Linked DNA regions of Schizosaccharomyces pombe. The protein of the gene in region 2 purifies or fractionates together with the protein of the main gene of each other region. This does not show direct contact. Each region holds a gene or a part of one and is shown on either strand. Other genes may lie near its edges.

Evidence for each region.
Region 1: the proteins of hhp1 (region 2) and rec11 purify together in Schizosaccharomyces pombe (affinity purification with mass spectrometry; one study listed by BioGRID). This does not show direct contact.

What each region holds. Positions count from the first base shown.
Region 1 is NC_003421.2:1,222,808-1,228,894, reverse strand, and holds rec11 (meiotic cohesin complex STAG protein Rec11), read left to right. Parts: upstream 1-1,926; 5' UTR 1,927-1,969; coding exon 1,970-2,234; exon of another isoform or gene 2,235-2,300; coding exon 2,301-2,413; intron 2,414-2,428; exon of another isoform or gene 2,429-2,498; coding exon 2,499-2,597; exon of another isoform or gene 2,598-2,646; coding exon 2,647-2,996; intron 2,997-3,040; coding exon 3,041-3,185; exon of another isoform or gene 3,186-3,242; coding exon 3,243-4,025; exon of another isoform or gene 4,026-4,062; coding exon 4,063-4,478; intron 4,479-4,521; coding exon 4,522-4,807; intron 4,808-4,894; coding exon 4,895-5,209; 3' UTR 5,210-5,587; downstream 5,588-6,087. Other genes in the region: G1/S-specific B-type cyclin Cig1, read right to left, coding at 103-1,350; rei1 (ribosome biogenesis protein), read left to right, coding at 5,888-6,087.
Region 2 is NC_003423.3:1,854,148-1,858,484, forward strand, and holds hhp1 (serine/threonine protein kinase (CK1 family) Hhp1), read right to left. Parts: upstream 2,764-4,337; 5' UTR 2,662-2,763; coding exon 1,771-2,661; intron 1,649-1,770; coding exon 1,442-1,648; 3' UTR 526-1,441; downstream 1-525. Other genes in the region: lvs1 (beige protein 1), read right to left, coding at 1-116; mug176 (BRCT domain protein), read right to left, coding at 3,616-4,337. UniProt on the Schizosaccharomyces pombe protein: Involved in DNA repair. Has a probable role in repairing alkylated DNA and may regulate the activity of protein(s) involved in double strand break repair caused by gamma rays.

The DNA of each region.
Region 1 (6,087 bases), on a different chromosome or scaffold from region 2:
TGTAGGAAATATTAAGACAATGATCCGTAATAATAAATATCGTAGGCTTAATAATAGCAAACTAACTCAGAATATCATTGTTAACAACTTCTGAAAGCAAACTCAAATCACACTTAGTACCCAGTTGTGAGCAAAGGCGCTAACTCGCTTCATTCTATTCTCCGAGTACTTTCGGTAAATGGCATTGTGATGGTTAGGGGCATCGACCAAACATTCCATAATGATTATGGCACACGGTTTCAATTGACGAGCCGTGTACCCACTATAATATACATGGCAAGGAGTCCAATCCAAATGACCCAACATCTGCATAGACAAGTAGTAGGCAGTAGCAGCAATGAAGCTAATATGGGCACCTATAAAAATTTCATCCATCAAGGTTACTTCTTGAAGATATTTGGCGAGCATGCGAATGTCGTGATCGTAAGAATCAGCTCGACTTATACGACGCAAAAACGACATGGGCCCTGGCCAACTAATGTCAAAATCCAAAAGCATCAGCATATAGCGCTCGGCTCTAATGATTTCGTCAACGGTGAAGATCCCTTGGACAACATGCGCAAAGTTGTAGATGCTTGGAGGGTGTATCTCTTCATACTTACAGGCAATCAGCAAAGCTGATAAACCTACCAACTGGACTTTTTGCAAAGATACGACTTTTATGGAAAGAAACCGGTCGATAAGGTTTACCGCCAAAAATAATGTCTCAGGAAGTAAACGAAAATGTATTTGAACTTGCACAATCCAATCAACAAGCATATGTCTTGTAACCCAGTCAATCTCTTGCTGAACTGACATGTAATTAGGAGGTGGAGCCAGCTTCCTTTCCAAAGATTGCATGTAGTGAAATATCTCAGGATCATAGTCTGGTACCATGGATGGATCAGTTTCTATATCCTCAGGCGATGGGTTAGCTTGTAATCGAGCAGCAGCTTCAGACAGGGCGGCTAAATCTTCCTTGGTCCACTCGGGAATTGTTGGTAGTCTATGCTTCCCGTGTGTAAGAATTCCTTCAGGTGCGTCAAAGCTGCCCTCACGGTTTTCCAAATCATCATCTCCAATAGACTTAGGAGTGGAGCGAATTGACCGTTCCTCTATCTCGACTTTGTCCTGGTATGCAAAATCCTCTTCAAAAGTGTCGCCAGTGGACGAAGAGATGGAGGATTCATTATTCCCTTCAATCAATGTTGGTTCATCTTGTTGATTGATGTTATCTACTGCCTTGAAAGGTGCACGAACACCCGTATTTAACTTGATGTGACTTTTCTTCTTCACATAAATGTGATCCTTTTGTAGCTGATTCTCATCTTGAAAATATGTTGCGTGTCTTGTTTGAGTCGAAACGTCCATTAGTAAACCAGCACACACTTGTTTAGAAAGTTTTGGACATGCGATGAAAGTCGGTTTTCAAACTGCCTTTTACTCAGGTAGGAACCCTAGTCTTCTCTTTGGAAAAGATCCTTAAAAATTTAGATGCTTTTCGACTTCTAAAAATTCGAAAAAATGACTCTACACCCAAATATATGAAGATACTATTGAACGAAGGATTCGAGGAAAGTAATCTTTTGGATTGACCAGAAAGATTAGTACTACAACAGTACAAGAACTAAAAATCTCAAATGAAACCAACGAACAAGAGTATTAACCAAAAGTTGGAGTAGGACTTTGCAAAGGAATACCGAGCTACTACTAATGAGAAAAAGGAGTTGGTGGGTTCTCAAAAGGGGTCAGGGAAAAGCCCGAAATTCCGAGTAAAAACGCGTTCTTATTCATAAATTAGTTACTTTATGTTTCAAAAGTAAAACTTTAATAAATTATTATATACTTGATTGCAATGGTTGTATGTGAACTGCAAAATAATTAATGACTGACTGACGCGACTCGTGTCACGTAAACAAACCCATCGTTTCTGTTAGATTAATCTTTGCCATAACCAACCACCATCGTACCAATTAATTGAGTGATTTCAATGAGATTCGAATTTGAATCAGATGCAAGCAGTCATCTCAATGAAGTCCTTACTGAATTAGAAAGCGTGGAGCTTGAAAATGTTGAATATGAAGGTCCAAGTTTACAGAATGTCAGCATTTGTGCCTCGCCCTCAGAAAAAAAGCGGAAATGGGGAACACAAGATGAATTTTCTTTGACGGAGAATGAAGAAAATAATGAAATAGAGACGAATGAAGAGATGCACGTAAATTCTCATGATTATGCCTTTCCACAAGAATTTTTTCGTAAGTTTGCTTGCTTATAAGAGAAAAAAAGTCTTCGATAATATATTCTAACAAGCATACGAAAAGTCAAACTGTTGGATATAGATATGCCGCTCGAGCAACTTTCTCAACATTATTTTGAAGACTATAAAAGTAATAGCGCTGACTTCATGCTGACCTTTATAAATTTCGCATTAGTTGTAAGTTTAGCAGGAATGATCCGCGACGTTTTCTAGCTTTTGCTGTTTTGTTTACTCTTCCTTTGAAACGTAAACTAATTCATAGGCCTCTGGTTGTCAACCCTTCGTTACGAACTTTGATGTACAGGACGTAGATTCAATTCCTGAAACATTGTCTCAGGTCAATCGTTCAAGTTTTCAAAAGGTGTGTGCATCATCTTTTTGTAATATTTACTTACCATACATATCGCTAGTCTTCTTGCGCTTATACTGATTATCTTTATACTTCTAACTCTAAAGAAGCTAAAACGGTGCGTATTCGTTTTCAGCTTTTTTTGGTCGAATTCATCAGTAAAGTTTACGTGGAAGACGCATTCCTCGGAGACTCATTCATGGAAACTACAAAAGCTTGGATTTTTACCATGACGACAAGTCCTTGGATGCTTGTTAGACATACTGCAACAACTATTTGCTGTGATATCATGCGATGCTTATGCCTTATAGTAAACAAACTTTCCGAAAAATCAAATCAAACTGCGGAAATTCTGGTACTGAGAGACTTAACATCTAGGTTCATTGACATGATTCACGACATTTGTGATAGGTTGGCAATACTACTTTTCTTAACGACTCTAACCTTTTTACTAGTGTACTATTCTCAAGGATTCATGATATACGTGCAAGCATTCGTATAGTGTGTGTTACTGCTCTATATGATTGTTGCCAATTGCTTCCCACCTATCTTATAAACAGAAATTTGATTAGACATTCTGGCTGGGGGTTATCTGATGCAGTAAGTGTATAAACAATCGCTACTGCTGTATCATTTAAATACTAACTGAACGTATAGGAATCACAAATCCGAAAAATCTCCTTAAAAATAATAGATTATCTTTCTTCTCATGAACCTGAAAAAGATCAAGATTTTGTGGTTGATTTTCTTGACAGATTCTCGTTAAGAATTGTGGAGATATGTCGGTACGATATTGATTCTGTTCGATCTGTTGCCCTCAAGACATGCGAGAAACTGATGGAGAAAATATCGTTGAATGGAAAATGTATCAATATTGTTTCTAGCTGCATATTTGACGGGAAGCCCCAGAATCGAATCTCGACAATGCGAATCCTCGTTGCCCATACTAATGAACGCTACGCAAATTATTGTGAAGCAAAGACTGCAACAATCAGCTTATCAAAGCTCTTAAGGCGTGAAAAAATCCCATTGTTAGTTTCCAGCTTTGAAAGCCTATTCAAAATGAATGCGTTATTATTCATACTTGAGCAAGGATTTGAATCTTGGTTCCGTGATAGCAGCGATCACATCTTTTCGCGTGTGAAAGACGATGACAAATTTGTATATCAGTCGCAGGAGAATAACTTTTATGATGCGGATTTCATACGAGAATATGATATGAATAATCATAGGCAGCAATTAATTGAGGAAAGCATGCATTCCATTCATACAAACTCACAATTACTTGCCAGTTGGGAGGATGTTGCAAAGCTCTTGCTTTATGATCGCTTTGATGCAAAAGATACTAACAGTGTCTTAAACCCCTGTATACCGAGCAACGCAGTGATAGAATTTTCTTCTATCTATCTCCATTATTTTGCAACACATATTAGCAAAAGAGTAAGTTATTTAAAGCTTCATATTACTAAACCTCTAGTCGAAGAAGCCAGGTAAAAGACTTGAAGATGAGGTCGTAAACCAACAGCAAGCAATGTTACGAAACCTTCCATTACTATTACAGAAATACAGAGAATCTTGTGTTTCATCATACTTTTTTATAAAATGCGTAGAGCAAATTCCTGACGAGCTTCTTTATAAGAGAGAATTTCATAAGGACTTTTCAAAGTTGTATAAAGAAATACTGGATATATTTAATTCAACTACCGTTAACTTCCTGATGATTTTGTGCAGCAGATTCTTCCACCGATTGGCGGTCAACAAAGTTGTACAGGAAGATATATTATTTGCCATTGACAATGTATATAATGATTTAGCAGAAAGTTTACACGAGCAACTCAATGCATACATTCAAAGAAAAAAAATAAACAAAAAAAATCAGTTGAATGGCAATGAGTAAGGATTTTTCTTTTTGTTATTAGATTGCTAACTTTACAAGTGAAACGCAAAACTTGGTTTTAGCTTTAAATAAGTTTGGATGCTTTGCAAAGGAAATGGTCTGTCTGCGAGACGTCAATGATTGGAACATTAAACTGTCAGAAAAATTATGCGAAATTTGTAGTCTTGAAGTCGGTCCTATCGTCTGTTATTCTTCTTTGAAAGTTTTATTTCTTCTTCTGCTTTCTGATATGAGAGATAGAAACTGTATTTTTACAAATATATTTTTAAAAGCAGCTAAGGTTGCGAAGCAAAAAAATGGAAACTCCTTTTTAAGCAAAGTTTTCGTAAGTCTCTAATGTTGCTGTCTATCTATCTTTTATGACTGTTGATTTCAATCACATTTAGTGGAGTAAAATGCTAACTATAAGCAGATTACAATTACGATGCTTACATTGTTTCTTGGATCAAAGGCAAATAATTGGGATATAAATTTTAGTGACGATGACTTGAAATTGATGAATGAAGAAGAAATCATGGAACAAATTGAAACTTTTAAAGCATGGTCAATGAAATTTAAAGAGAAATCATCTGGAAACCCTTCTTACTTTTTTTCACCCGAAGATACTGAGGAGAAGGAATTATGGAATAATCTGTTTGAGGATTGGTATCCCAATCGTGCTAGAGATCCTGGAACACTGAGTCATTTAGTGAAAGGTTTAAAAGAAACAGCTGACCATTTATCATAAAACGAAATTTTAACACTAATTAAACCCCGAGGGAAAAGAGATAAGAAAGCACATGTGCTAACTTTCTTATTGAGGCAAGGAAACTTATTAAACAAAAGGAAAAGACATTAAACTCTATTATGTATTTCCTATATGATTATTCCAACGAAACTAACTCAAAAATACCTCAATTTCAAATACTCAATTTTAATTAAACCCTGAAGAGTGGGAGCTCGTGTGCTCGCTAAAACTACAATGCATGCCATTTCTTTCTTTCCAGCCCTTTGTCTATATATGAGTTTTCTTAGGACTTACTGGTTAATCAAAAGGTACGCCTTATGTTACTAAGCAATAGAAAATGTTTTTGAGGGATGCATAAATTAAGTTTAAAAAAACAAGACATTAAGATGTTTAACATATCAATTAATTTTATTTGATTTCAATAAAATTGATAATTATTTGACACTTTAAAATAATTTGGTGGTGCTACAAGTTATGTAGGCAATAGTTGATCGTAGGCAAGTTGGATTCAACCAACACCTTTTTGTGCAAGGTATTGTAAAAAAGGGTTGACTTCATCTCATTAAGTTAGTTTGAGTCAAAGAATATATTTGAGGAAAGACTCGGCTTCAATATCAATTTTTTTTTCGATAAAAAAGTGTACTGGCTAAGAATTGAATTACTTGACAGAATACCGAAATGTCGACTTCTTTTGCTTGCACGACTTGTACTGTGGCTTTCAATAATGCAGAATCACAGAAAATACATTGGAAGTCTGACTGGCATCATTATAATCTGAAGAGAAAGGTTGCTAGCTTGCCGCCGTTGAGTGCTGAGGTGTTTGCTGGAAAGATTTTGTCCATTCAAAAGCAGAACGAGGAAGTCCAGAAAAAAGCAGA
Region 2 (4,337 bases):
CGAATGAACCCCCTCAATTTTCGTAACTCTTCTAACAGAACTTTTTCTGAGGGACAACCCTCAAGCCTCGATAACAACTCAACGCTTTTAGAATAGGCATTCGCCTTTCTGTCCATAGCAGCTTACTTGAATAAAAGATAGAAGAAAGAACCTAACAAAAATATTCGTTCCTAGCCCCTGGTGCACAAGTTTCGTATTTATTTCGATAAACTCTGGTCAAGTGAGTGTATATTATGAATAGGTCATGTGAGTTGAAGCAGAGAGAAATGGTTTTAAAAAAGAAAACGATTAATATATATAATCGATGAAATTAATGAAAATTGATGCTTGCTTAAATTTATCGTTATTGAAACTGGCAATAATAGTTCGTAGTGGTTGGCGGTGAAGTATAGCGGTGATAATGATTTCTTGCCAAACGAAGTGAACTATGAAAACTTGCTGTAGAAGAGAACTACACCAAATAGATAGTAAGTAAAGACAATTTATTTCTATTTCATTTATGCTTGTTGATTTTGAAGTAGGTGTCATCATTCTAAATTCATCTTATTGATAATTCAAAAACTTACAAACAACACCTTTCTAGTTTTTTCAAGTATGTTTACAAACTAAAATGAAAAGCAAAATATTTATTATATTTAGCAAACAGAAGTGTGAACAACATCGAAAGACACTTCATGAAATGAACGCTTCAATAAAACAGTCAAGCACGAGATCATGCACCCAGAACACGAACTAAAACAAACCATTCATCCCTCGAGCATTAAGTCATTGAATTTAAACGCATCTTAAGCATCCTAAGGTTAAACGACGCTGATTAAATGAGTTCAGCTTGGAAAAGACGGTATCTATAAAGAAAAGCAGCAAATAGCTGATAATATATTATTAAAAGTATATGAATGCAATGCCTTCTAATTAGATTAAACCCCAAGGCTCATCACACATAAAAAAGTAACCAATTTGCTTATGGCGTCGTAAAAAAAAGGCTTTAAACCACGCATAATCTGTCACCAGGATTCGTGTTAAGCGAAGATAAAATTATGATCATTTCTGCAGAAAATTCTCTCACTTTTTTCTGTTCCTGGCTCGAAACATATATGATAATGTATGAATAGATTCACAGGTAGTAAAAACAAATACCAAATGTATTATTAGCAAATGTACTAATATTAAAAAATTTTTCACCAAAACTTGCCATAATGAGGATATGATCATGAGGTTAGCATAGAATTTAAGTCAACACAAGATCTTCAGCCAAATAAGCTATGAACCCTCAATAAACTATAAGCAAAGTAACTTTCGCCATCCCAAGGAAAAAGCCCTGCGCTATCAACAAAATTAAAGGACGTCTGGAGGATAAAAGGCAAGTATTGGAAGACTCCAGATGAGAAGAAAATATAAAAATAATGTGCCCATGCTATATAATAATAATATGAAAGGCTAATCAATTAGGTCTGTTGATATATTGAGCTCCGGTTGCAGATGGATCATTTATAACAGGAACGGTTGTATTAATGTCTCCGCCTTTTTCATCAAAGTTTTGTTTTTGATAATTTCTAAATGAAGACCTCTCTGGCGGCGGATTAATAGCTTGAGGAGTTGCAGACAGTTGTTGCTGTAATTGCTGCTGATGTTGTTGGTCTTGTTGAGTCTACAATTTAAATGTTAGTAAATGTGACTATGTAAACTTCATAAAATATCATATTACATTGGTTTTCAATAACTCGGAAACCCAGAAAATAAAAAAAGCACTATTACCAAGATATCTCATACCTTTCTCTTCAAGGTCCAATCAAACATATAGTCAAACTCATAAGATTGCCGACAAAAAAGATCTCGGAAAAGCTTGCGAAGGTAGGCGTAATCAGGTTTGTCATCGAAACGTAAAGATCTCGTGTAATTGAGATAAATTGAGAACTCCTGAGGGAATCCCCGACATAAGACCTCTGTAGGCGTAGAGATCTTCTTCTCCATAATCTTTTCATACTTTTGCTTTTTCGTGGTAGCCTTCAATCCCTGCCAAGGCAGGCTACCACGACAAAAGTAGACGAGCACATAACCTAAAGATTCGAGGTCATCACGGCGGGATTGTTCAATACCTAAATGAGTATTGATGCTAGCATAGCGTGCAGTACCTGTAAGATTCTTGTTCTCGCGATAAGGAATGTGCAGGTGAGTTTTGTGATCACGATACTTCTTAGCCAATCCGAAATCAATTATGTTAACTTGATTTCCTCTTTTACCTATTCCCATTAAAAAGTTATCAGGCTTAATATCACGATGAAGAAAAGATTTTGAATGAATGAATTCAATTCGAGAAATGAGCTGGTCCGCAAGGAGAAGAACTGTTTTCAAAGAAAACTTTCGATTGCAAAAATTAAACAAGTCTTCCAACGAAGGACCCAATAAATCCATCACCATAGCGTTGTAATCACATTCTACACCGAACCAACGAACAAACGGGATTCCGACCCCTCCTGACAAAATGCGATAAACTCTGTATTCATACTCCAATTGAGGGTGTTTAGCACGAGTTGATTCTAGCTTGATAGCGACCTCTTCACCAGAAACGACATTAGTCCCAAGATAAATGTCTCCGAAAGATCCACTGCCAATTTTACGACCAATGCGATACTTGTTCCCAATCCGGAGGTCCAAAGCCATAATAATATTATAACGCTTTTAAGGCTAAAGGCACTCGCTTTTTCTCTCCAATATACTATAGATTGAAATTGAATGATGTGGTTGAGGTAAAAGTAGGGGTTCGAAAAAGTAGAGCAAGTTAGGTAACGTAGAAGTAAAGAACTTAAAGTAAACATAACGAGAGTTAGCATTGCTTTATCAAAATAACGATAATAAATTATAATACAAAAAAAATTCGCTATGCGATTAAATTATAATAGATAGTGAATTTGCGAATATTGATAGTTTACGATGAATGTAAATAAAACATACCTACATACATTCGTACATCCAATATCTATTTTTAGAATGGGAGCGTGATGCTTTTCTTGGTTTCTATTTTATCAATTACCATTTACTGAAAAATGTAAAATGTAAGGTATGGTTTATTAACACTAAGAATAAAAGGCTAATAAAATGTGTCCTTTATAACAGACTCTTCCTTGTAATCTATATACAAAATCTAATAATATTTGAGCCCCAGTAAACGAATGATCTAAAAAGATAGAGAAAATTCGGGTTCTCAGACGAAAATAAAAGCTGTAAGATACACTGTCTTTCCAGTTGAAGCGAAAAAGACCTCCAACCGAATATTGGAGTGCGAAAAAATAAAATGAAAGAACATTTTAAAACAATAAGAAAACCTTTTTCGGAAATTTAATATTGTAGTTCTTTACATAAGAAAAGCGAAAAATGCAAGGCATTTTTCTGTTCTAAATAAGAGTTGACTAATTCTCCATTGAGATTATAAATAATTTGGGTCAGGATTGTGACGACTGAGCGAATAGAATAAAATAAAATAAAATAAACTGACAATGGGCAGGATAAAAGAAAGGGGAAAAACACGCAAAACACTGATCTAACAATATGTACAATGAGCAGTGCGGAATTAAACTTGTAAATGAAAGAGAGTAATGAAATAGAAAGACAAGGCACTTAGAAATCTATAAGACTAACCTTCTTTTTTAGTGGAGAGCCAATTAACGGTTTGTAAGCTAGATACTTCTTTTTGGCAGACTCTAAATGAGTCATCTCTAAATCCGTCGTAATTTTGAAAGACGAAAATAGATCAGCCGTTGGAGATAGCGATATTTGAGAAATGGTTTCTGGATTATTTTCTCGTTGAGCGTCATTGGACATAGATGACTCATTAGAATCACTGCAAGTAATGAGACCAAACTCATAATCATCGGACAAAGTTTGATCCAAGAATGAGTCGGCATTAAAACAATGAGAATCAGGAGACCCATTAACGAATGGTTCTAAATTTTCTGCTTGAGTATCGAAAAAGAAGGCATCAGAAGGGTCCTGAATCATTTGCGTGTCAGTGAAAGGATCAAGAGGATTCAGCAACTCCGAGTCATCAGTCTGTAAACATTTAGTTTGCAGTATATCTTGAGGATCAACTAAGTACATTTCCTCGTCGACTAAATACTTAGATGAGTAACAAGCCAAAACCCATTTAGGAGATACACAAACGATTGGGACTTGAGCAGAACTAATTTTCTTGAGAGTTTCTTGTGAGCAGTCGTAGAGTACTGCGTGAGAAACGGGATTTTCCTCGGTCATTTGTAAAGACGCATGAACAGTTGCGCCCAATAGACGCAATTGTTCAGTAACGATTTCCATTGAAAACATACCTTCTCCGATTTCAACGT